Nothobranchius furzeri: one gene and its partners. The protein of the gene in region 6 interacts with the protein of the main gene of each other region in a pairwise test. Links are inferred from orthologs where the notes say so. Each region holds a gene or a part of one and is shown on either strand. Other genes may lie near its edges. The genes, in order: nedd9, lysophosphatidic acid receptor 2, neu4, sik3, mettl17 and trip6.

Region 1 (3,500 bases), on a different chromosome or scaffold from region 6:
CAGGTGCTGAAACACACCTGAGATCATTCCGGCAACAACCGGATTGATTCAACTAAAAACCTCTTCAGGTTCTAATTCTAATCCGATCACGTCTGGAGAAGTTACACGGATGAATAACCGGGAAAGTTTTCTCCTCGTGTTCCCACAGACCTGCCAGAGGAGGAGGGGGGGAGGAGCAGGAGGAGCAGGAGGAGGAGGAGGAGGAGGAGAGCTTAAACTTTCAGGAATCCTGAGCTTCAGCTGAAGGCTGGAAAGAGGTGAGAGCTTGCTGTCCTGAAGGTCTGCTGAGCGGTGCAGCAGCAGGATGAGGACGAGCTAACAGCAGCTAACCGGGTCTCACCGGCCCGGTTAGACCGTCTGAACATGACCCGTTCCTGCAGGCAGAAGTTCAGCTGCTCATTGGAAAAGTGATGGAGACCAGAAGATTTAGGAGACCTGGACCTGGACCGGGCCAGGGTCTTGGACCGGTTGCTCATGTTCCATCCTACCTCTGCAGCTGCTTCTAATGACGAGCTTTTCCGTTAATCTCATCAGAATAAACCCCATAAGCTGCTGGGTAATTCCTCCTCTGGATTCACCAGAAAGCTAACTGCCAGATTAGCCGATAAAGGGAGCAGCTCTCACCTTGCTGGGTGCGCTCTCAGCGCTGAGCGTGCTCCTCGGTGGGACCTGGTAGAGGCCCTGCTGCTGGAGGCTCGGAGCAGGAGCCTGGGCGGCGGCGCCCGACGACTGGGCCTCGAACATGGGTCCGATCAGCAGCTTCAGGCGGTTCCCGGGAGCGATGCCCTGACAGCCGCGCAGGGAGCACAGCCACCAGCCCTCCAGGCCGCCGGTGTTCTGCTCGATGACGGTTAGGATGTCCCCCTTCCGGAACGCCAGCTCCTCGGGAGACTCTGGAACGTTGTCGTACAACGCCTTGGCCATCAGGTTCTGCAGCCACAGAAACAAAACTGTTGTTAGACGCGCCGAACGGTTCAAACACACACCACAGCTTTCATCCATGTTTAAATCTGGTGATTACAAATAAAGCTGGTGAACATTTCCCATCATGACCCCGTAGGGCATCATAGCCCCGCCCCCAGCAGCTGCTAAAGGCCGTGCAGTCACACGACCTCGCGACCTTCAGCTGCGCTTGAACCTGAACTTGACAGGATCTTCTCAGGGTTTTGGGAAGGTCTGGTGAGGGCTCATGGGTAACGAGCCCCCAGCGCCGCGGCATTTAGGACCGATTAGCTCGTTAAACGCATCAGCAGGAGGGAGGAAACGGGCACGAATGCTTGTTTTCAACCTTCGTAGAGCGGCCGTGCACTTCCAGCCGTGCACGCCCCATTAGGTGCAATTAAGATGTGCGTGACTTGCTCAAGGGCACGTTGCCTGATCCAGAACCTGGCAGTTCCAGGTTCTGGATCCGTCTGGGTCGGAATGAGAAGAAAACAAACAGGAAGAAGAAACTCTGCAGGATTAAATCAGATTATAATCTCTGATCAGAACACAAAGCCTTTACAGCTCCAGGAGAGCCGTGGGTTTGTTTCTGGTACCGTTGGTGGGCCCGGCCGCCCTGGACCTCCTAACCCACCCATTCTGACTCATCTGAGGGAACTGGAGTTTACAGAACTCACCTTATGATAAAACCTGAATCTGGTCATGGGAAATAACCGTGGTGAGTTCAGGGACAGACTGAACAATCAGGCTTGTGAGATACCGGCGTAAACACAGACGGAGGGTGAGGCCCCGCGAGAACCCCGGCGAAAGTTCGGAGATGTTTTGGAAACTCCTTTGTGAACTTGGTTCCTTCATTTGATCGTATTTTATTCTGAGGGTCATAAAGGCCGCGGCTCTGACCCGTCCTCCCTCACGTGAGAACAAGCCTGCAGGGTCTGTGTTTGACGAAGATAAACAATTATCCTGATGCAGAAGAACATCCAGACCCTCGCTGAGGAGGTTAAGCCAGCAGCGGGAGCAGACATGCCTTCTGTCCTCCTGAACACACTGACACCAAACAACAACGACCAGAATATCTGCGCCCAGCTGGCATCAACGCAGAAGCACCCAAACCAAACCACGGGCAGCTTCCCGTCAGTCTGCTGGAGGCTTTATTTAGAGCCAACGTTCTTCTTCTGTTCCTCCTCCTGATGGAGAACCACGCCGAGGGATGACTGAGGTAAGGAGGAGGCCTGGATCCAATCAGGTTCAATCAGAAACTTTAAAAGTTGCATACCGTTCACGTCTTAGAGGGAAATCTGGAGCAGCAGGTCAAGAATCAGAAATCGGTATCGGCTTTAAAAAGCAGAATCAGTGCATCTCCATCTAAAACCATCTTCAGCCTGAAACCTCCCCTCCCCCCTGAGCTGAGCTGAGTGTGACGTCGTGGTGAGTTCAGGGACCACACAGATCCAAGGAAATGGGCTGACGCTGTTCACAGGTTCTCACTGGTTTCAAACACGCAAACATTGTAACCAGTGAATCAGATATCTGAGGGCAAAGGTCACCGGTAACAGCAGACGTGTCTGAAGCCAGGAGGAGGCGACTGGGCGTGTCCTCGTCGTCACGCCGATGAGTTTTTATCGCGTTCAAAGGTTGAAGAACGTTTCTACGTCCTCAGGCTCAGACTGGATTCTTCTACTTCAAACCGACAACTAAAGTTTTATTTGTCCCTTCTGGGCTCCTGTAGCAGGATGGCAAACAGTCCGTCTTCCTGTACAGACATACATCTAAGCGTCAGCTTCATCAAATAAAACTGGAGATTTAAACCTTCACAACCAAGATTTGATGTTTTGGATTTTTTTTTACATTAAGTCTTGTTTTGCTGCAGTCAGCGACCGAGTGGTGAAGAGCAGCGATGACGAGGAGGAGTTCTACGACTCGGCTTCATCACCAAACAGATCTGATCAGCGGGTTTGTGAACCAGCCGACATTCAAACACGTCGCCCAATCAGAGTAAACACGCATAGAAACGGTTTCCTCGGCCCACGAACGCACCCGAACCTCTGACCCAGACAAACGACGGTACCAGACCGGGAAGGCCAAAGCTGAAATCCAGCTCGGTGGTTCTGGAGACTCGGACCTGGATCAGAATCCTGGCTGAATCCGCACAAACGGAAGAAGAAGAAAATATCGTTTCTATAGCGCCTCTCGAGATAAAAACCACGAGGCGCTTCGCAAAAGCAATAAATGTAAAAATATAAAAAATAATTTAGAAAATTTTAAAAATATATTTAAAATGAGCAAAAATAGACAATTATGATTTAAAAAATGTTAAGAAAGAGAGAGAGAGTGAACAGGAAAGAGGGAAATCAGTGGATCCTGAGGAAGGTGGAATAGGTAGGGAGAGCAGAACAAGGTGAGGGAGGTGATGGAGGTCATACAAAAGCCTGAACAGGTGAGTTTAAAGGAGACCACTGAGTCCACTGATCTCAGGCTCAGAGGGAGAGAGGTCCAGAGTCTGGGGCCACAGCAGCAGATGATCTGTCACCTTTGACCTTTAGCCAAACAGAACCAAC
Region 2 (4,284 bases), on a different chromosome or scaffold from region 6:
GACTGATTTCTGCAGCAATGAACACGTGACATTATTCATTGCTCTGATTGGTCCTTGTGCTGTCCAATTGTGTACAGTGACAGTTTGGAAGACAACCATAGATTGTGCAGTACGACTGGATGGTTTCAATGGGTTTTGGCCAGGTTATGGTTTACCAGGCTAGCTTGTTTCATGATCTCAATAATTTCCCCACATGCCCCATCTAAACCAAGGAAAATAATGCAAACCTAAAGCTGTCTTGATGAGAAATATCCTCGTTCTTCCTCCAAAGAATTAAACGACAAAAATGGCTGCATTTCCTTAAACACAAAGCCAACAGTCAGCCATCTGGAACATCTGTAAACATTTGTCTCAGAGTTGCGTGTAATGCACAAGTTGCGCAGAATCCCCCTAAATGGATTTATTTAGAGATGGACTTTTAACCCTCAGAAAGAACATGTGACAAGAACAAAACCCTCCTAGCAAATGGGACCCCCTGACGTGGTATGTAAACAACCAACTCAAATTTCAGCACAGCTTGATGCCAGCCTCACACTCACCTAACAAACCCTATTAAACTCACTAATTAGCCCGTTATCATTCATGCCTAAGGAGCTTTGTGGGGGGAAAAGGACAAAGGGTAGTTGCAAAGGAAATATCCCTTCTCCCCACCTCCTTCCTAACCAAGAACACCTCGTCTGCCTCCCCTCCCCCATTCCTAGCACTAATGTAGCAATTTAAGCATTCCCATTTTTTATCTATAAATATAAAATGATAACTTATGTCAGAATAAAACAGCAGCATAGTATTTTCTTGTGATTTGTTTTCCATAAAAGTTGAATTTTTTTGTTTTATGTGCAAAAGCTGCAAGTGTGTAGGTCCCTATGGACTTTTTGCAGCTCTAGTTGGACAATGTTAGCAGGATTGTGTGTTTTCACGTGTAACTTGTCTGTTATTTGTATGTGAAAAAACCCAGCTGAATCTGTAAACACTGGTTTGAATGCAAACCAGTCATTACAAGAAAAGCCACACCCAGGTCTCTTCTCCCTCCTTTCGCCTCTGAAAAAAAGTCTTGGCGGTTTAACGGCAAGAAAAGCACACAGGTTACAATTAACACGACGGTGGGGGAAAACACATTTCCAACCCATTATGATTAGTTCTTTGATCAAACCACAGGAGTCATATGTAGGTGTGCTTTTCCTGTGACATGCACATGGTGGAACATTCTGATTTGTATAAATGCCCTTTTCTTTCGTTCAGTCAAACAAATTTCATCCCTCCATCATCTTCTGTGGTCATCGAAACCAAAAGCAAGAATGTGTGACTGACAACAGGCCATAAGGGAAGATGTTTAAAGGTATTTAACAGAAATAGGTATAGTTGAGTTTTTCATTCATCTTTTTGGGGGTGAGGAAGCCGTTTAAAATGAAAGTGTGGGGAGTTTCACATTTCCTGAGATGTTTTAGAAATGTTCCATGTTGATAATAAATAAAAACTAAAGACCAAGGTGACCGTGTGATGGTAATGACAGAAATTTGCATCTTGTTCTCAGAATATAAATCCATTCCCTACACCCTTAGGGTGAGCAAAACTATGAAAAACAAACACAGTTTGGCTCAAGTTAGATAATTTGCTGAGTTTCCTCATTCATTTCCAACAAGTGAGTTTCAGTCAAGCTTGTTATTTTGAAAAAAAATCTATATTACTAGCAATGCACTGGTTTTTCTACTATAACTAACATTTGTTTTCAGGTGTGCATGCAAAAAATGATCAGTGCAGTAGTATTTACAGATGGTAAAAAAGGTGCAGTGTGTCAACAACGCCTGAACATTGATCCTTCAATTTATTGCAGGATTGTTCTGATTGCATTATCATAAGGTGGATTTAACCTGTTAAACCTGTTTGCTACAAAACAGAACCACTAAAGAAAATCCTATTAAAGTGAGTTGTTTTATTGGAGAATGTGCAACAGGGGCATCCGGGAAAGGGACGATACAAAAGTCTTATCTGCAGGAGATAACACATTCTTCTGCTGAAACTAGAGTAAAGTTGTCTGGAAGCATGAGGGCATTACACAGAAGGGGCATGGACGGATTTAGGGATGAAACTGCAGTTTAAAAAGAAAAGTTTCTTAATTCCGGGTTTTCCACCTGATTGTTTCACAAAGAGAAAAAACAGATCTACTTACTCGTCCTTGGTCGAGTCCTCCTCGGGTCACTTGCGCTCCACAAACATCGAGTTTTGAAAGACGAAAGAAATAAAAATAAAACACTTTAAAGAAACGAGCGTTTGTCCCAAGGTGGAGGAGGTGGATGGATCACATCAAAGCTCTGCCCCGGGGGGAGTTTTCACGTCCCTGAAACTTTAGCGCGGTGGGTTTCGGCCTCCGTCACCTGAACGGAATCTCGCTTCCGGTAATTTGAGCAGATCGTTACCTGCGCGCAGCGTTCCGCTGAGGGAAGGGTGCGGCAGCCGCGGTGCGGAGCTCCTGATCTGCACAGTGCGCAGCTCTGTCCCACAAGGGAGCTAGGCTGGAGCGCTTCACGTCTGTGGAGCCGCCTCCTGTCGCCCCCTGTCGGCTGATGGGAAGAAGGACCAGCCAATCAGAGCCTCGCTAGGAAAGGATGGCTTCAACCAGAAAAGGCCGATGATCACAGCAGGGAGGTGGATGATCAGAGCCAGGGCAGCCAAGGAGGGATCCCAGTACAAAGGTGGGAAACCATTTCACCCAGAGGCCTAAAGATGCACATGTGTCTACTCAATTTCCCTCTGGGATTAATAAAGTATTTTTGAATTGAATTGAATTGAATTGAATTGAATGTCACCCATTGCTTTTTCATTAATGTGAAAAATCAGAGAAATGTTTGTTAAAATGCTTGTGTCATGGGCTGAGTGGGGGCACTTTGCCTTGCAGTGAGTAGGTTGCAGGTTCCAGCTGCAGCCGTTCTGCATGTTTTTCTGCAGATGATCCAGTTTCCTCCTCCACAGGCCAGTGTCCAGAGTGTCCCTCACATCTGGCCTGGTGAGTGCTGGAGCTGGGCACCAGCCCCTCATGACCCCAGTGAGGAAGAAGTAGTTCAGAAGTAGTGAGTCAGCCATTTGTGTAATCTCATCATGCAACATTTCAAGGCCTTTGTTAGAATAAGAATTCTGACCCTTTTGATATCATTTCCATTCATTTATTTGCATTTTTTCCCCAGTTTAGCTCATTTTTAACTGTTAATTGTTATAAATAAGATAAACCTACCCAGGGATATCCAGAGCTTTTGTTTTTACAACCAGGTGGTTTGGTCTGACCAGTGGGTTCCAACTTTTTACACTGTGACGTCCACCAGCTCCGTTCTCGTGACTTTTACTTTACGCAGAAGGATTTTAAATCTCCTCAGCTACTCAGTATTTATTCATGATCCTTTATGATCCACTGATTACCTCATTCTTATTCTTTTTCTCTTTCCCTTTTCTCCCATTTTAATCACAATTTTTACTTCTCCGTATTTAATATTTTTTAAATATTATTGTTATTTTTATTTTGTTCTTCTGAAATGCCTTGTGATTTTTATCTTGAGGAGGCGCTATATAAAACATCTTCATGAATAACCATGAAGGAGGGGTTTGAGTTCCTGGGTGTCGGGGCTCGGAGGGGCAAACAGCTCTTGCTGATATCATGTAAATAATAGTGGTCCTGGGTGAGAAGATAGAGATTTAATCAAATAAGATAAAAGAGAAGAAGAAAAAATAACAAAGAACAAGGTTATCTTGTATTGATACAAAGTATAAGGCCCTGGAGTCAGGCCTGAAGGAGGGCTTATCAGCAAAGACCTATCAAGCCTTTGAAAATTCATTGGGGGGCGCGGGGGCTGCTGACTTCCTGCAGGAACCATGGAGATCTATTGTGGATCCGGCAAAACCAGAACAAAGATGGTATTCCAGTCCACCTCCACCCTCACTGTTGCCTTTTAATTAAAAGCATTCATGGAAAAGTTGTCAAAAACGACAACAATGACATTTCTTGTTAAAGCGACACGGTGAGTGAAGGCATTCACACATTCAAATCTAAACACGACTTCACAGCTTGGTAGCAGATAAACCTCAGCCTTCAGCAATAAAACCCCGTCTGGATCAGCTATAACTCAAAGGTTGGTGACACGATCTCCAGCCCAGGTCATCGCGTCAATGAGAGGGCGAATTCCAGACACATACTTTTTTTTCTTGCTTGACAGCAACAAGAAGAGCGTGTCTCGTATTAAGCCTACATATCTTGTGTGTAACAGTCCAGTAGCCGGGTTGAGCTGATTACACTAGGAG
Region 3 (3,857 bases), on a different chromosome or scaffold from region 6:
AACAGACAAAGGGTGGTTCATTTGTTGTGAGATGATGATCCCAAACACAAGGCCAAGGGAACAATGAATTGGTTTCAAAGGGAAAAAAAATCAAGTTGCTTGAATGGCCCAGTCAATCACCTGACCCAAATCCCATAGAAAATCAAAAGAGAACTGAAGATCAAAGTTCATAAAAGAGGCCAAAGGAACCTTTAAGATTTAAAGATCGTTTGTGTAGAAAAATGGGCCAGAATCACTCCTGTGCAATGCAGACAACTGGTCTCTCCATACAAGAGGCGTCTAGAAGCTGTAATCACCAAAACACACACACACACACAACCATCCATTGACTTCCATTTCATTGTGACTGTATAATGCCTATGCATAACCAGTGCTGCTGTATTCCTAACCCTAACCTCAACAAAAACTTCATTCCCACCATACCTCTAAAACCAACTGGTAAGCTCTCTAAAATAGCGAGGACCGCACTCATTCCCTCTGTTGGTTTAAAATCTCATGATGGTCCTCAGTACGTAGTAAGTACAAGAACACACACACAAGGCTCTGAGAGAAGAGACGTGCTTTACACATTAAAACGAAACGTACGTTGTGCTGAAAATGAAAATATGAAATCAGAGAGGCGGAGCATCACATCATTGTTCAGCACCCCCCACCAGACCTGCTTTTCTAACAATGGCTGCTCTCTGCTGATTCATTCAAAGCCTTGGATCTGAGGGGTGTTCATTTCTGGGTCAGTGCACAGGATGCCACACTGAATAGTGAACAGAGATTCTCACTACACTCACTGACTACACACATACATCATACTGTGAGCCTCTGAACCAGGAGCTCACACGCAACCGGTGTATCCTCGAAAAGCAGCAGCGGTTCTCTCAGAGATCTGAGACAGCAAGGGTTCTCCTGTTTGTGACACTTTGAAGTGTTGAATCCTCCCAGTGCTGTTAAACTGGGAAGTTACTGGTCAGAAAACAAATGAAAATATTCCAGTAAACGGGTGGAAGAGATCATTCTCTGACTGGTAAGATCATTTACTTTATTCAAACTCAAACTGAGCTCAGTGCAGCGACATTGGTTTGACTGCTGATCTGTTGATTTTTGTCACAGAGTGGTTGCTCAGATGGTGAAAGATTTAGACAAAAATCTTTGTGTAAAAAGCTAAAATACAGACAAGTTTATAGTGAAGTAGCATAGAACCTGATTTTCAAATTAATTTCTGCCATTTAGTATTTCTGATGTGTTTCATAACTTAAATTTTCATGATCACAATAGTTACTGCTCCTATTCATAAAGAAATGCCTTTACTGTTTTTTCTCTTTGTCTTTTGTCCTTAGTTGTGTTTGAGAAAACTTCCTGATTTTGTGTCACTGGATTCAGATTCAGTCCCAACAAAGAGGATGAGGTCGCCTTACTTCCCAGCGAGAACGGTGCTCTTCCACAAGGAGCCTAACGGAGTGACGTACCGAGTCCCAGCCCTGATCTACGTGTCCCGGTTCAGGACTTTTCTGGCTTTCTGTGAGGAGAGACTCAGCCCGTCTGACTCCCAGGCTCACCTGCTCATCATGAGGAAAGGAACTTTCTACAGGAACTACGTGGAGGTCACTGACCTGTCATTCTGGGTTTTTTTTATATCATACAAAAACATTTGTTTAGAAATCGTTTGAATTGATTACTGTTGGCTTTAACTGTAATTCTTTACATTTTTATTCTGTTTCAGTGGGAGGACATGCGAGTTCTGGGTACCGCCTTTCTGCCGGGTCACAGGTCCATGAACCCGTGTCCCGTGTACGATGAGTTCACAGGGACACTTTTACTGTTCTTCATCGCTGTTCTGGGTAACACCTCAGAGTCCTACCAGCTGGTGACGGGGAACAACGTGACCCGACTCTGCTTCATCTCCAGTACTGACGGGGGTGACTCCTGGAGTCCAGTCACCGACCTCACCAAGGCAGTCATCGGAGACACCATCAAAGGTCACCGAACCCAGACAAACCTTAACCCTAGATGAAAACTACACCGTCAAGTTGCACTTCAGGTTTATTTGATCAGATCCAATAACTTATAAAATATCCAAAATAATAAATAAAATAACATATCAGAAATAACAGCAGGTAGGTCAACAAAATGAATGCATTTTAAATTAAATAATGTTAAAGATCTGGTTCATCTGATAAGAATAACAGGAAGAAGCTTTCAGAATAATTGGATGACACTGATTGGTCCCCTTTATTTCCTCCCTCCTGACAGAATGGGCTACGTTTGCTCTGGGTCCGGGTCATGGCATCCAGCTAAAGTCGGGTCGTCTTCTGATTCCTGCCTACTCCTACCACATTGACTGTAAGGAGTGCTTCGGACAGCTTTGCCAGACCACTCCGCATTCATTCTGCTTCCACAGCGACACCCACGGGAGGAGCTGGCGTTTCGGCGAGGCTATTCCGGCTCCAGAGAGTGTGGAATGTCAGATGGTGTCCGTGGATGAAGAGGATGGCACCAACGTGCTGTACTGTAATGCACGCAGCCCTCTGGGATACAGGGTGCAGGCCCTGAGTCTGGATGATGGAGCTGTGTTTCAGGAGGGGCAGCTAGTGCATCGGCTGGTGGAGCCTAGAAACGGTTGTCATGGTAGCATTGTTGGATTTCCTGCTCCTTTGCATCTACAGCAAACTCTACAGCATCCCACAGGTCACTCCAGGCACTGGACGTCATTCCTGGACTCCAACAAAACGACAGAATCATCTTCAAACATCACACCTCATCATGATGCTCATCCAGACTTCCTGACCCCTACATGGGTGGTATATTCCCACCCAACTTGGGCCACAGCACGTAAGGATCTAGGTGTGTTCCTCAGCCTGTTTCCTCGTGATCCAGACAGCTGGCGGGGCCCCTGGGTGATCTACGAGGGTCCCAGCGCATACTCAGACCTGACCTACCTGGAGCTGTCCCCCTCGCCTGGGGCACCGCCGGCTGTGGCCTTCGCCTGCCTCTTCGAGTGTGGCTCTAAAACCGCCTACGATGAAATCTGCTTTAGTATCTTCACCCTGCATGAGTTGATTGATAATTTGCCCGGGGCTGTGCAGCATTTGGGTGAGACGGGATGCAAACGCGAGACCCCAGGAACAACAGTCCAATGGGAACCTCGAGTGAAGAGGAGGAGGAGAAAGCTCATGAAGACGTGCTCTATCTCTTGAAGAGTTAAATGTTTATTCTCTTTTTTTTAATCACCAAGCTGGGTTTGCTTGTCAACTATATTAAGTTCTGTAGAACTTCCTGTTAAATATAGGTAGGAAAGATGTTTAATGTAAGTTTTGTAGTTTTTTTTAAATAGATTTTAATTGTAAAGATTTAATTTTGACATTTCATGTGTGGAGTTTTTATTTCTTCTTGTGAAAATGCTCAGAGAATTAATTTAAATAAGAATACAAATCATTGCTGGTTTGCAAGAGGAACTAATTCAGAGGTGTCTCTAATCAACACACCTGATTTTAATCAGTTGGTGCTTAACAAGCTTCATCTGATGACCTAGCCTAGTGAACCAGACCAAATTCTTGCTTTGCAAAGTTTGCAAGTAATACATTTATTTAGTCTGGCTTGCCAGGCTACTGATGACCTGCTGAACAGGTAAATTAATTGGTGAATCAGGTGTGTTGGAGCAGGAAAAAAACTTTTTTGAAGCAGGACAGTGGTAGCCTGGCAAGCCAGACTAAATAAAGGTATTATTTAGTCTGGCCACGCTCCATTGACGGCTCTCGGTTGTGGGGCGGGTTCTACCGTTGTCTTTCAAATGATCTCCACATTCCACTGGACAATGAATATGACATACTCTTGTTTCACTCTGTTGCATCATCCCACCCACCAGG
Region 4 (3,500 bases), on a different chromosome or scaffold from region 6:
AAGAGGACTGGGGCCACTGGAAGGAAAAGATCTCCCAGTGGCCCCAGTCCTCGTCCGCACACAGGTGTTTCAGACCGTGGTCTAACAGCTGCAGCTGACACGAGCGTGTACCACCACGTCGTTCAGCTGAACGTTTGTTCTGACACACATCCTGTTTAGGTGCCAGTTCCTCCTCTATGGAGTAAAATGACCTATTTATGCAGAGGCTGGCTTTATTTCTGCTACACCCTGGCTCATCCGCTGTGTGTGTGTGTGTGTGTGTGTGTGTGTGTGTGTGTGTGAGTGAGTGAGAGAGAGCTTTATAGTCACCCCTGAGGTGTGTGTGTGTACAGCTCAGAGCAGGAGAGTCCCCTCACCGGGTGTGAATGTCAGGGGCCCAGCCGCACCGCTGGCGGGGGCCCTGAGGCCGCTGTGACTCTGTCGAGGGCTCGCCATGTGAGGTGCTTGTGAGCACGTGCGTCGTGTGGCGCTTGGAGCGGTTCGCCAGGTACCTGGGCCGTTGGAAGGGGGGTAGGACGGGGTGAGAATGGGAGACAGGAAGCAGCGCTGGTCAGCTCTCTGTCCTCATTGGCTAATGGAGATGGGGGAAGGACCACCCCTTTCCACCTTTGCCAATGCGTGCCGTTACTCATATCATCGTAGCCAATCAGAAAACATCAAATAAAGTGACACCACAGATGGAGGTTACAGCATTTGTGAACCAACAACTGCCCAGCGTCCAGCTTAAGGGTTGGGTCAGTCGCTGTTTGTGTAGCCACCGGTTTGGCAAGCTTCAGAGTTAGCAAAGCTGTGTGAGAAAGAGTGAACAAGTCCACAGAGGAATCTGGCACTTGCTGAAATGAGAGATAAACCAGCTCGAGGCCAGAGCCTGATGGCAAACTCTGTTGGGAATGTGGCAGAAGGCACTTGCGATGGAGAAAGGAGAAAAGATGGGATAAGCACCACAGCACTGTGGCCACCTCTCAAGGGGGAAAAGCAGAGCAGCCGAGAGGCACTCACTCCCAGCAACCCAGGACACCGGCGAAGGCTAAAGAACGTGCCGTCTGAAGAGGACCGCCTTAAGGCCCAGACCTGGACTCCGTCACAAGCTTTCCCCAATGATGTTCTTTGAATTTCATCCAATTCTTTCATTTACATGTCTGTAAATCATTTATATTAACATGAGCCTGAAATCTGAGCTTCTGGAGTCCCTGGCGGAGCACTGCTAACCCAACTCTACAGTCAGGGGCTTTGGGGTCTCAGCAGCTTCCTGTTCAGACAGCACCTTCGTTGCGGAAACCCAGCCACCACAAACCGTCACCATGGTTACCTCTGCACTGCCTCCTGGTCTGGCTCTCCATCTGAACCCTCCTCATCCACTGGAGCTACTGCAGGGATAGGATGCTGAGAGAGGCAGAGTTTACTGGTTAAGGTGTGTTTGGCACACGCCACAAAGAATATACACCCAGTCCCTCACCGGGCTGGCCACCAGGGGTGATGGCCCCCTGGGCCTCTTCAGGAGTTGAGCGTGTAGCTGGATGTTGGCCCCGCCATCTGAAGCTCTTCGGCCCAACGGGCCCATGCCATTCAGAAGCTGTAGAGTGGGAGGCTGCAGCAGCGATTGCTCCTGCAGCGTTAGCAGCCACAGGAATTCAGAAATCAGCACGAACACAAATCAAACACATCCAGTCCGACGCAACGAGCTGTACCTTGTACTCCAGCTGCTGTGTTGGCTGAAGGCTCTGTGTGGGCATGAGGGTATGCATTTGACCCATAGTGGGGGCAAGTTGGGGGAAGGGGGTCTGGGGAATTACACCACGAGGGAAACCGGGTGGAAGGTTTTGGAGCTCCTCCTGCATCTCCGTCCTGTGGAGGCAGGTACAAGGTCACATGGAGGTAAGATATTCTGATGAGTAACACCTGATAACCCCCCACCTCCACAAACATGCGTTAAAGGGGTTGTGAAAGTAACCGAGCTATCCTCACAGCACTACCCCTCATCCTAAACAGATCTCGGGTTTTACCAAGGGTTGGGCATCGAGTCTCGATTGGAACCAGGGGATAACGGGGACTGGTTCAGACCGTATCTCGGGAACCGAAGCTTTACAGTTTGCATGGAGAACTACTTGTCGCTATCATTGCCTCTACCCTGGGGTGTTCCTCAGGGTTCCATCCCATTATCACTGATAATGTTGCGCCTATTTTAACACCAATTTTGGGGACCGCCAATGTTCTCAGTCACATCTGCATTCCTAAGGATGCCTGTAATGAACCCGGCCACGGTGGGGCAGGCTGGGGCTGACTGCGCGACGTGGAGCTGGCCCTAGAGTGGAAGGGCCCACATGTAGGATGGCCTGCCAGCCTAATATTTTGTTAAAACAACAAACAGGTGAGCACAGCCATCTTTGTTAACATGATAAAGCCATTCACTGACAAAGATTTTTAACGTTTTGAGGCTGTGCCTCACAGGCATTGGCTGAAGCGCTGTTATGCAGGTCATCTTTTCAGGGTCTCATTGGACTATTTTGGCGGTTCCAGCCCTGATTGGAATCGCTGAGCCAACAGAATCACTGGTGAGTTGTTTTCGGCTGGCTTTTGCAAACCGATCACAGGAGAATTGCTGTTAACCAGGATATGATGGAGAGTAGAAAAGGTTCTCCAGCAGGCAAAACGGCCCAAAATAATAATTTATCAGCTCTGTTTGGCCGCTGGGTCGTAGAATTTAACAAACAAGTGGATTTTTTTTTTTTTACTTTAACACAGATTATGACCAAAAAACAGCAAAGGTAAGACTGAGTATAAACTTTTATCGTCATTAATATCGGCTTTGTTTTGGTCCTTTTTTAGTGGTTAGCTAAATCAGTTTTACAAGTAGAGTAATGATACATATGTATTATAGTTAGCGGGTTTATATTAGTGGACCAACACCAGCAGATGACATGGCTCCCCAAATCAACACCGATTGTGGAAACTTCACACAAGCATCTTGGATTGCGTGCTTCTCCGGACATACTGGACCAGACTAGACCACTGAACAGCGCCAGGGGCGGATTGACAAGAGCAACAGGACATTTGAAGCTCATGTCCAGGATCTGTCTGTGTGTGATGGCTCGTGATTAGGGTGGGGCATCGTTTGATTTTCAACGATTCAGATTCCGATTCCTCGTTTCGAATCAGGTTCCTATCGATTCCCGATTCCATTTCTTTCAAGACATGACATGTTTTACACGAGCCAGCTAACCACAGGTCCTACTAGATGAAATAATCTTCAGTGTTTCCCCTAGGAATTTTTCCAGCTGTGGCGGGGGGGGGGGGGGGGGGGGGGGGGGGCATTGGAGAGAAATTATGACACGTCTCTAAATAAGGTAAAAAAATTTTAGTGCAGAGAGGAGAAAACCCATAGAAGCACTGATTTGATCTCATTTAAGAGAAAAATACACCAAGTCAGATGCACCTAATAAATAAAATTACTAACATAAACTCAGGAATCTGTTTCTTTGCTTCATTGTTCTGGTGCTGAA
Region 5 (4,011 bases), on a different chromosome or scaffold from region 6:
AGTCTTGGAGCGGATTTTTCTCTTGTATTTCGTCACAGGGTTAATCTGGACCATCTTCTTCAAATCCACTTCATATGCTGCCCCCGAGCCAAGAGTCAGAGTGACGGATGTCCTCCCTGAAGAAATGGCTGAATCAAGCAAGGCACAGGCTGTAGGCGGGTACGATTCCCACTGTCCTTCATCTCCTTTCCACTGCCACACTGTGATCACAAACAGAGCCAGAAAACAGTAAAACAGTTGTTTAAGTGCTGCATTATAGGAAAAACTGAAAATAATATTCCACAACAGACCTTTTATGAACTATAAAATACTGATATGACTTTATAAAACATGAATCAATTTCTAAACATCAAATTTCTGCCCTGAGTTGATTTCATTCATTAAATGTAATTATGTAGTTTCTTTTTACTACTTTTTAAACAAAGATGTGTTAATCAACTGGACTTTGCAGAGCCATTATATTGTTTTTCTACACTCAAACGAGGCTTTAGTTATTACTAAATTAATTAAATGTAGCAGTGAGTCACTTTATTCTAGTGATTTCCTCCAGAACTGCTTAATATTCGTGCTTTTCACCAGTTTTCGCGCCAAGTTTTGATTCAATTAGTTAAAACACAAATGTTGTCAAATATAAGTAATAGGTAGTGCAGGACATAGTTACCAAAGAATTGTGAAGATGAAAATAAAACCTAATTCTCTGTCCGGGCATGTTTAATGGCTACACTGCTTCCTTCCATGATGTGCTAAAAGCAAACACCAACCTGTTTTTGACGGGACTTCGTGGTTTTCTTGTGCGCGCTGGCTTTTATTTCTCGAACTTCTGGTTCGCCTCATGTTTGTGTATCAAAACAAGTTTATTTAACAGCAGGAAAAGCAGAAATCGAGAAGCAGTAGAAAACACGGCGGGAACTTTCTTTTCTTCGGATAGGCCTGTAGAGAGCAAAGCCTACCGAAGATGGTTTATTAAAAAGATGCCGCACTTCGTAACTAACTAGCGATGAATACAGAAGTTAGCAACGCAGCAATATACATCTGTTTACAACCAAATAATGATTTTTCTAATGATGTATATGTGGTAAAACAAACATTTTTAATCTAATCCTTCTTTTATGTGCTATTTGTTTCCGAATGTTAGCCAGTATCTGTAAACAAGATCAGAGAAAGAACTCTTCTTGTTTCCCTCGTGTAGGAACAAATCTTTAAGGCTCGATGGTTCCACTTTCAGTGGTGGCCGGAATTATTTTGTTGATGCAAATCAGTCGGTCGGTGTGCTTTACAATAGCGTGGATGAAAGTAAATGTTTACCAATATTTCAGTGCCGTTTAGACACCGAGAACATGGCATCAAGTAGCTATAAAGCCTGTGGTCTCAGTCAGAGAGTGGCTGTGGTGAAGATTTTGTTCAGGGTAAGTACTCCACCAGGTGTCTTTGAGTGCATCATTTTCACTGGAGGTCATTTATGTTTTGTGTACATTTATGGTCTGTAAATGACATGTCAGTTTGTAGAAAAGTAGCCCGGTTTGAATATTACATAAAATTATTTGTTTTCATATTTCTTTCCACAGTTTTGCAGTGACTAGTATTTTTATCCTAATGTCCTTATTTCCTTGTTTTCCTGTATTTTTCTTTTCTCTAGTACTGCTTAATATTTTGCTAAGACTGTGCTTTCTTCACACCTTACATAAATTTTTTGTATATTTTTGGAATTATTTATATGCAAACAAACATGTACCTCATACACATATTTTTATATGTCGATTATGTACTCTAACAAAGTCATATAATGCAGCCACTCTGCTTTTCATTTTCCTATTCTGACACTTTGTAATAATAATTTATTCCAGACTGTGAGTGCTGCTGCTAACCCACAGCCCAAAGCAGATTTCCTTAAAGGAGAACCCCACAGGAAACATCCTGGTATGACCAGCCTGAATACACTTCGGCTACCCCAGGAGCTCCAAGTTGCTGCACAGTCAGTCATTCAAAGTGAGATCAGCTGTCATCAACTCTAGCTGCCATAATAATAATAATAATAATAATAATAATAAATAAAACTGACAATTTTCCCACATGTTTGTTTTTTCTTTGTGTAGAAGCTCAGGTGACCCAGCTTACTGATCGCTGTCACAAACTCATAAACTACTTGTGGAGTCGAAAGCGGATGGTTGAGGACGTGACTCTGAGGCAGAAAGCATTGGGTCTGGAGAAAGAACTCTGGGAGAAAGCCATGCAGAAGATGGGAGGTGAGCGAGGGTGGGATCAAGTAACGATGTATCCATGTAGCAGCCCCTGGAGACAATAAATATGTTTCTCTTTGCAGATATTGACGAGGAAGCGCTGAGGAATCAGATCAGGAAAAGGGTTCTCTCAGAGCTCAGACAAACTACATATCACTGGAATTCCCTGAAGTAATCAGAACTTAGAACTCAGCTTAATCTGAGAGTTTTGGTTCGTAACCGGCCCTTTTTGTGTTTCAGGTATGATGAAGAGCTGGGGGTGGTGTACATGGCCTCGCGGCTTGCTGGAGGTTTTGCAGCAGTGACGAGAGCTCTAAATGAGGTAATGAAGTGATTTGTGGAAGACTTTAGCCCCTGTACGTGCCTCTGATCACTCTTAAATTAAAACTGATGTGTTTTTGTGTTCATTCAGATAAAGAAGAGGGATCCCTCATTTGCTCCTCAATCTCTCCTGGATTTTGGGTCAGGATTGGGAACAGTTGCCTGGTTAGTGTGCAAATTAAAACCCTTTTTGTCTAAATGAGGTTAAGTGTGTGTGTGTTTTTTTGCCTCTCAAAGGGCATCACACTTGCACTGGGGAGACTCTTTAAAAGAGATGGTGTGTGTGGACAGCTCTGGGCCTATGAGCGTTTTGGCTGAGCGACTTCTTAAAGGTTGATCTGTTATATTTGTCACATTAACAGAACATTTTTTAGAAGATGCTGAATGTGCTTTCTTCTGCGCAGGTGATGAGGAGGAGGCTGAACCTCTTTTCAAACACGTCTATTTTAGACGATTTCTTCCCGTCTCTCCTAAGGTAAAACATCCCAGGTTTTTGGTTTTGTTACAGAGGAAATGCTGATCTGGATTTACCACGAGAAAGCAATCTCAGATTAACTTAATTATGTTAAAATTGGTAATAAAAGCTACAAATCTGACTCCCCAGTTTCTCTCCTCAGGTTCAGTTTGACTTGGTGGCGGCTGCTTTCACTCTGTCAGAGCTTCCCAGCGTGAAGGAGCGAGAAGATGCTGTGATCACTCTGTGGAGAAAAACATCCTCCTACCTGGTTGGTTAGATCAATAATTCAACTTTATATTTCCTTTTACGCCTTCTGAGTTTTTTCCAGTGTTTATCCTTCACGTGTCGACATTGGCTTCTTGCCTTGTAATATTTGATTCTGTTAATCTTAGACCTGCTTTTATTACTCTTTTAAAATATTTTTTATGTAATTTAACATTTTAAAAATATTTTAATGGTTTTTTTTTGTTTTTGTATAATATGCTCTCAATATTGTTTGTTTTTTTATTTTTCTGAGGTCCAACAAATCGAGAATAGCTAGGTGAAATTAAAAATGCACTTGAAATTAAAACTCAGGTCATGAGAAATTAAATGTGGAAAAAAATTCAGCTTATTTTAAGCTGTGTTTCATTATTTTTCCACACTTTGTCCTTCAGGTTCTGGTGGAAAACGGAACCAAAGAGGGCCATCAGATGCTCATGGACGCCAGAGACACTTTACTAAAGGTACTCCAGTGAAACTGCCGCTTGGTTCTTTCCTGGCGTTTCTGTGTAAAAGTTTTGACAGTTTAATAAATTGCACAACAGAAACAAGAGCAGATTGTTCACGACCCCAGACCAGCAAGAGTGTTCGCCCCGGTAGGTTAAAGGAAAAGCATCAGTCTTGGTTTGCGGCGTTGCATTTTTTGCTGCAGCTTCTTTTTGTTTACTCCTCAGTGTCCCCATGAGATGATGTGTCCCAAACTGGCCCGAGAGCCCATCACACCCTGCAACTTCC
Region 6 (4,015 bases):
TACATTTGCTGCTGGGTGTGAATGTTAAATTTGCACAAAGAGAAGCATGTGTGAAAACCAAAGAGGACTAAATACATTCCCTTACAGCCGCAGAGGCCCAACACTCCTGACACGTCACAAGAAGCTCTGTGGGGTTTTGTCTGATCAGGCAAAAGTCACAGGGGTTATCACAGCCGGAGACCTCAGGGAGTAATTGCAGATGAGTTTTATGTAAAGCATTAGGTAAAATGAGCCAAATAAGGCTAAAGCATTACAATTCTTTCATTTTTCTACAACACTAACTGTTTTTACTCATTTGCCACAGCTTTAGTTGGTAATAAACAGTATATTTGACATGTGAAGTCTCTTGTTTGTGTGAGGCAAAGGATCATGCCAATTACTGCAGAGATATTTAGTTTATTTGATCAGACATTCAGGAGAGACTAGGAGTAGAGCCGCTGCTCCTCCATATCGAGAGGAGTCAGTTGAGGTGGTTTGGGCATCTTGTTAGGATGCCTGCTAGACGCCTGCCCAGGAAGGTGTTTCAGGCATGTCCTGCCGGCAGGAGGTCCCCTGGTCGACCCAGGACATGTTGGAGAAAGTACGCGTTGGAGAAAGTACATCTCCAAACTGGCCCAGGAATGCCTTGGGGTCCTACTGGAGGAGCAGGTGGAGGTGGCTGGGGAGAGGTCAGCCTGGAACTCCCTGGTTGGGATGCTGCCCTCGCTGCCCGGATCCGAATAGGCAGAAGAAGACGAGACTAGATATTTAGTACATTTATATATTTCTAAACTTTTAAAATAATTGCTCAATACGGCTAAAATATTTACATATTTTTCCAATTATAGTGGGACATTTAGATGTATTTTATTACTTATATATATATATATATATATATATATATATATATATATATATATATATATATATATATACATACACACACACATAGATAGATAGATAGATAGATAGATAGATAGATAGATAGATAGATAGATAGATAGATGTGTGTGTGTGTGTGTGTGTGTGTGTGTGTGTGTGTGCGTGCGTGCGTGCGTGCGTGCGTGCGTGTGTGTGTGTGTGTGTGTGTGCGTGCGTGCGTGTGTGTGTGTGTGTGTGAGAGAGAGAGAGAGAGAGAGAGAGAGAGAGAGAGAGAGAGAGAGAGAGAGAGAGAGAGAGAGAGAGAGATTTTTGTGAAAAAAGGTAAACTTTCCTTTATTCCAACCCCTTGCCTCCTCCCAACACCACCTCTCGTGCTCGTACACAGGCGCGCGCGCGCATCCAGAGCTACGTCACGCGCTGGGAATGCAGCGAGGAATTGGTGTCTTCGCTAAAGGCCTTCAGATCCGTGACAAAAGTAGGTTAACGACGCTTCAACGACAGCCAAGTCTTCAGGACAACTTTCACTAAGTCGTTAACGTTTAAATGGACTCGTAAGTCGTGTTTGTGCGGCTCGGTTCGGGCGGTAGGTGGCGGTTTGCCGCATCGTTTCCTTTTTGGTCGTGATGAAAGTTAGCCCGGTGTTGTGCCGAAATAAGCTCCCCGCCGTGATTAGCACCTCTCGGATTCATGACATGCTAGCAAACATGTAAACAAGGCTGCTATTAAAGTTAATTACGGGTAGTTTTATTTCATTATGGAGTGTTTGATCACTTAAGTGCGGTGATTTGCACATGCGTGACGCACAGACAGATTTAGACCAGACAGATTCTCTGGTTTGACATATCGTTGCTGCTGCGGAGCTAAAAACGGGACAGTATCTCAGACGGATGTGAGTTTATCTGCTTTTCTGTTTCAGCCTTTTTTTCCCCCCTTTGTTATTTGTGTGTAGATGAGACCTAAGGACAGGCGACAGTAAAAGCACTGTGAAGGTAGGAATGCTGATTTTTATTTTGAAAAAACTGACCAGAAGCACAGTGGTGTTTTTTATTTTTAGTTATGTAATTTATGTTTTTATATCTTTATCAGTAGTAACTGGCACACAAACAAACATTTAACTATCATTATCTTTTATTTCGAAAATAAGTGTTTTATGTTGCCTAATTGTAAAATTAAATAATGAATGTAAATATGAGATTTGCAACAGGAAATGACGACTTATTGTGTTTATTGGGTTATTGCGTTGCACAAACATTTGATATGCTTTATTTAGAATTTAAAAGTAGGAAGTTCTTTATATTTATTGTCTTTCATCCAATTCAGGACTTGGTACTGATGATTTACTCTATGCAGACAGTTTGAACAATAAGTAGAATTTGTTATGCATGCTCCATAGGAAACATTTGGCTCCAAACCTTGAGGGGGATGAAACCATGGAGATTAATTTCCCTGGGCCAGTCTGCCTTAGATTTGACTGTGTGCTCATCCGGATTCAGACAAACGCTTTAATCGGGACCACTGCGCAGGTGGTGATCACCCTTTCCTCAGTGTGAACTCCAGTTTAACAAGTCCTGAATCTGCTGGTTTTACATGGATCACATATCTTTAATTTGAACGTTAAAACCAGTAAAAAAAACATCATGTTAAGGGTTCAAATCTCCTGTCTGAAATGTATTTATATGAAGCTACATCGACATCTGATCTGACATTATAATCCTCTTAACCACGAGGAGGGTCACACCACCCACGTCCAATCGGTGTGAGTGGGTTATTCATTTCTGCACAGGGACTGCACTTGTGTCAGATTTCACATGGCTCGTTTGGGTGTCTGCAGTCTGTCTCTGGAGTTTGTGTCTGCCATTTATTCTTGTTCTGGAAAACACGTTTCATTAAGTCATTTTCAACATTTGTAATTTAGTAATTATAACTTCTGTTTTTGGTATTGGGGGGGGAAAACAAATGTTGTTCATCAAGATTTTTTAAATCGACAGGACAGAGTCTTTACACCCACACGGGTCAAATCAATGTCCTCCAGTAAAATAGTCCACAACAAGTCTTCTGTCCACAACCCAACACATTTTACTGCTGAAAAAATGTCCTTTAGGTTTGTCTCCTTCTCTCTGTAATCTCTATTAGCATCCTCAAATTAGCTGATCTTACCTGATCAACAGGGGAAGGGTCGTCGCCTCTGCTGTGGCAAAATTGATTGGCCAACAGGTCAGACGTGCCGGCCCCATTCCCATAATTAAGGTGCAGTTTATTGTTGATTTTTGTGTTCGCAGACACAAACATTGGAGCAAAGAAAAGAATGCTGTAGCTACTGTGAGGCATGAAGGGGGTTTGGGTCACCAGGTGTCTTTAAAGAGCAAGTCACCCCCAAATAAACTTTTTTTTGCTGATAAACTAAATAAACGAGTGTCTAATCGTGCTGCAGACACGTGTCGTCAATAATTTGGCACTTCAGTGCATCTTAGTTAAAATTTAAATATTCTGCCTAAAACTGGCAGTGTTGTGCCGTTGTCAGGTAAAAACTCTGCACTGCATTTTAATTTAAATCTGCCACTGCTATTGGCTAAGAGGTATGCTATGATGTAAACTGGTACATTATGATGTCACAATGCTGTCGTGAGCCTGAGTGTGTGTGTATTTGTTAGCAGCTCCACCCTCTCGGTCTGCCAGGCAACAGCATTTGTTGCATTTTCAAACATGAAGTGGGAGTGGAGTTAGACTCTGGTAGGGGTTGACTTGCTCTTTAATCTGTGGGGTTTAATGAAATCTGGAGACCTTTAAAGCTGTGTGTCCTCTGCCATTTTTGGTCTGTTTGGGGTTGATTTTCCACTCATTCGACAATCTTTGGTGCTAGGCTGTTTTGTGTCGTTTGCATGTGGACGGTGACAGTTATACAGGGCACGCTCGGCTTTAGGTGTTCTGGATCTGCCCAGTACTAGAACGCTTGTCTCAGGTCATGGGCCCTCCAGCAATATCAGTGAAACACCGGCACCATTCTGACACGTTTTCAAGGAAAACAAGAAAGATCCAGCAGTTCCAACTAAACATTTAAGATTCCCATGTCCTGGACCACTGACCATCTACACAAACCTTTTTCCTAAAGGTACCAACAACTTTATGTTTTTAATTTCTACGACTCCTTTCATTA

Evidence for each region.
Region 1: the proteins of trip6 (region 6) and nedd9 interact in binary tests that used the Homo sapiens proteins (3 or more experiments, as listed by UniProt). The link is inferred for Nothobranchius furzeri from reciprocal best matches to the Homo sapiens genes TRIP6 and NEDD9.
Region 2: the proteins of trip6 (region 6) and lysophosphatidic acid receptor 2 interact in a two-hybrid assay, tested with the Homo sapiens proteins (2 studies listed by BioGRID). The link is inferred for Nothobranchius furzeri from reciprocal best matches to the Homo sapiens genes TRIP6 and LPAR2.
Region 3: the proteins of trip6 (region 6) and neu4 interact in binary tests that used the Homo sapiens proteins (3 or more experiments, as listed by UniProt). The two-hybrid records come from large-scale screens. The link is inferred for Nothobranchius furzeri from reciprocal best matches to the Homo sapiens genes TRIP6 and NEU4.
Region 4: the proteins of trip6 (region 6) and sik3 interact in binary tests that used the Homo sapiens proteins (3 or more experiments, as listed by UniProt). The two-hybrid records come from large-scale screens. The link is inferred for Nothobranchius furzeri from reciprocal best matches to the Homo sapiens genes TRIP6 and SIK3.
Region 5: the proteins of trip6 (region 6) and mettl17 interact in binary tests that used the Homo sapiens proteins (3 or more experiments, as listed by UniProt). The link is inferred for Nothobranchius furzeri from reciprocal best matches to the Homo sapiens genes TRIP6 and METTL17.

The regions. Positions count from the first base shown.
Region 1 is NC_091759.1:25,485,569-25,489,068, reverse strand, and holds part of nedd9 (enhancer of filamentation 1), read right to left. Parts: exon of another isoform or gene 938-3,500; intron 931-937; coding exon 625-930; intron 1-624. UniProt on the Homo sapiens protein: Scaffolding protein which plays a central coordinating role for tyrosine-kinase-based signaling related to cell adhesion. As a focal adhesion protein, plays a role in embryonic fibroblast migration.
Region 2 is NC_091744.1:9,323,894-9,328,177, forward strand, and holds the start of lysophosphatidic acid receptor 2, read right to left. Parts: upstream 2,801-4,284; 5' UTR 2,168-2,800; intron 1-2,167. UniProt on the Homo sapiens protein: Receptor for lysophosphatidic acid (LPA), a mediator of diverse cellular activities. Seems to be coupled to the G(i)/G(o), G(12)/G(13), and G(q) families of heteromeric G proteins. Plays a key role in phospholipase C-beta (PLC-beta) signaling pathway.
Region 3 is NC_091753.1:42,144,688-42,148,544, reverse strand, and holds neu4 (sialidase-4), read left to right. Parts: upstream 1-1,179; 5' UTR 1,180-1,394; coding exon 1,395-1,595; intron 1,596-1,714; coding exon 1,715-1,970; intron 1,971-2,244; coding exon 2,245-3,188; 3' UTR 3,189-3,357; downstream 3,358-3,857. UniProt on the Homo sapiens protein: Exo-alpha-sialidase that catalyzes the hydrolytic cleavage of the terminal sialic acid (N-acetylneuraminic acid, Neu5Ac) of a glycan moiety in the catabolism of glycolipids, glycoproteins and oligosacharides.
Region 4 is NC_091753.1:15,843,532-15,847,031, forward strand, and holds part of sik3 (serine/threonine-protein kinase SIK3 homolog), read right to left. Parts: intron 1,846-3,500; coding exon 1,689-1,845; intron 1,607-1,688; coding exon 1,457-1,606; intron 1,384-1,456; coding exon 1,310-1,383; intron 492-1,309; coding exon 357-491; intron 1-356. UniProt on the Homo sapiens protein: Positive regulator of mTOR signaling that functions by triggering the degradation of DEPTOR, an mTOR inhibitor. Involved in the dynamic regulation of mTOR signaling in chondrocyte differentiation during skeletogenesis.
Region 5 is NC_091751.1:41,153,267-41,157,277, reverse strand, and holds the start of mettl17 (ribosome assembly protein METTL17, mitochondrial), read left to right. Parts: upstream 1-1,211; 5' UTR 1,212-1,337; coding exon 1,338-1,406; intron 1,407-1,844; coding exon 1,845-1,986; intron 1,987-2,093; coding exon 2,094-2,243; intron 2,244-2,320; coding exon 2,321-2,408; intron 2,409-2,477; coding exon 2,478-2,559; intron 2,560-2,649; coding exon 2,650-2,723; intron 2,724-2,795; coding exon 2,796-2,890; intron 2,891-2,962; coding exon 2,963-3,033; intron 3,034-3,175; coding exon 3,176-3,283; intron 3,284-3,671; coding exon 3,672-3,740; intron 3,741-3,821; coding exon 3,822-3,872; intron 3,873-3,950; coding exon 3,951-4,011. Other genes in the region: parp2 (poly [ADP-ribose] polymerase 2), read right to left, coding at 1-200, 762-834. UniProt on the Homo sapiens protein: Mitochondrial ribosome (mitoribosome) assembly factor. Binds at the interface of the head and body domains of the mitochondrial small ribosomal subunit (mt-SSU), occluding the mRNA channel and preventing compaction of the head domain towards the body.
Region 6 is NC_091742.1:54,147,319-54,151,333, reverse strand, and holds the start of trip6 (thyroid receptor-interacting protein 6), read left to right. Parts: upstream 1-1,215; 5' UTR 1,216-1,336; intron 1,337-1,338; exon of another isoform or gene 1,339-1,444; intron 1,445-1,810; 5' UTR 1,811-1,850; intron 1,851-4,015. UniProt on the Homo sapiens protein: Relays signals from the cell surface to the nucleus to weaken adherens junction and promote actin cytoskeleton reorganization and cell invasiveness. Involved in lysophosphatidic acid-induced cell adhesion and migration.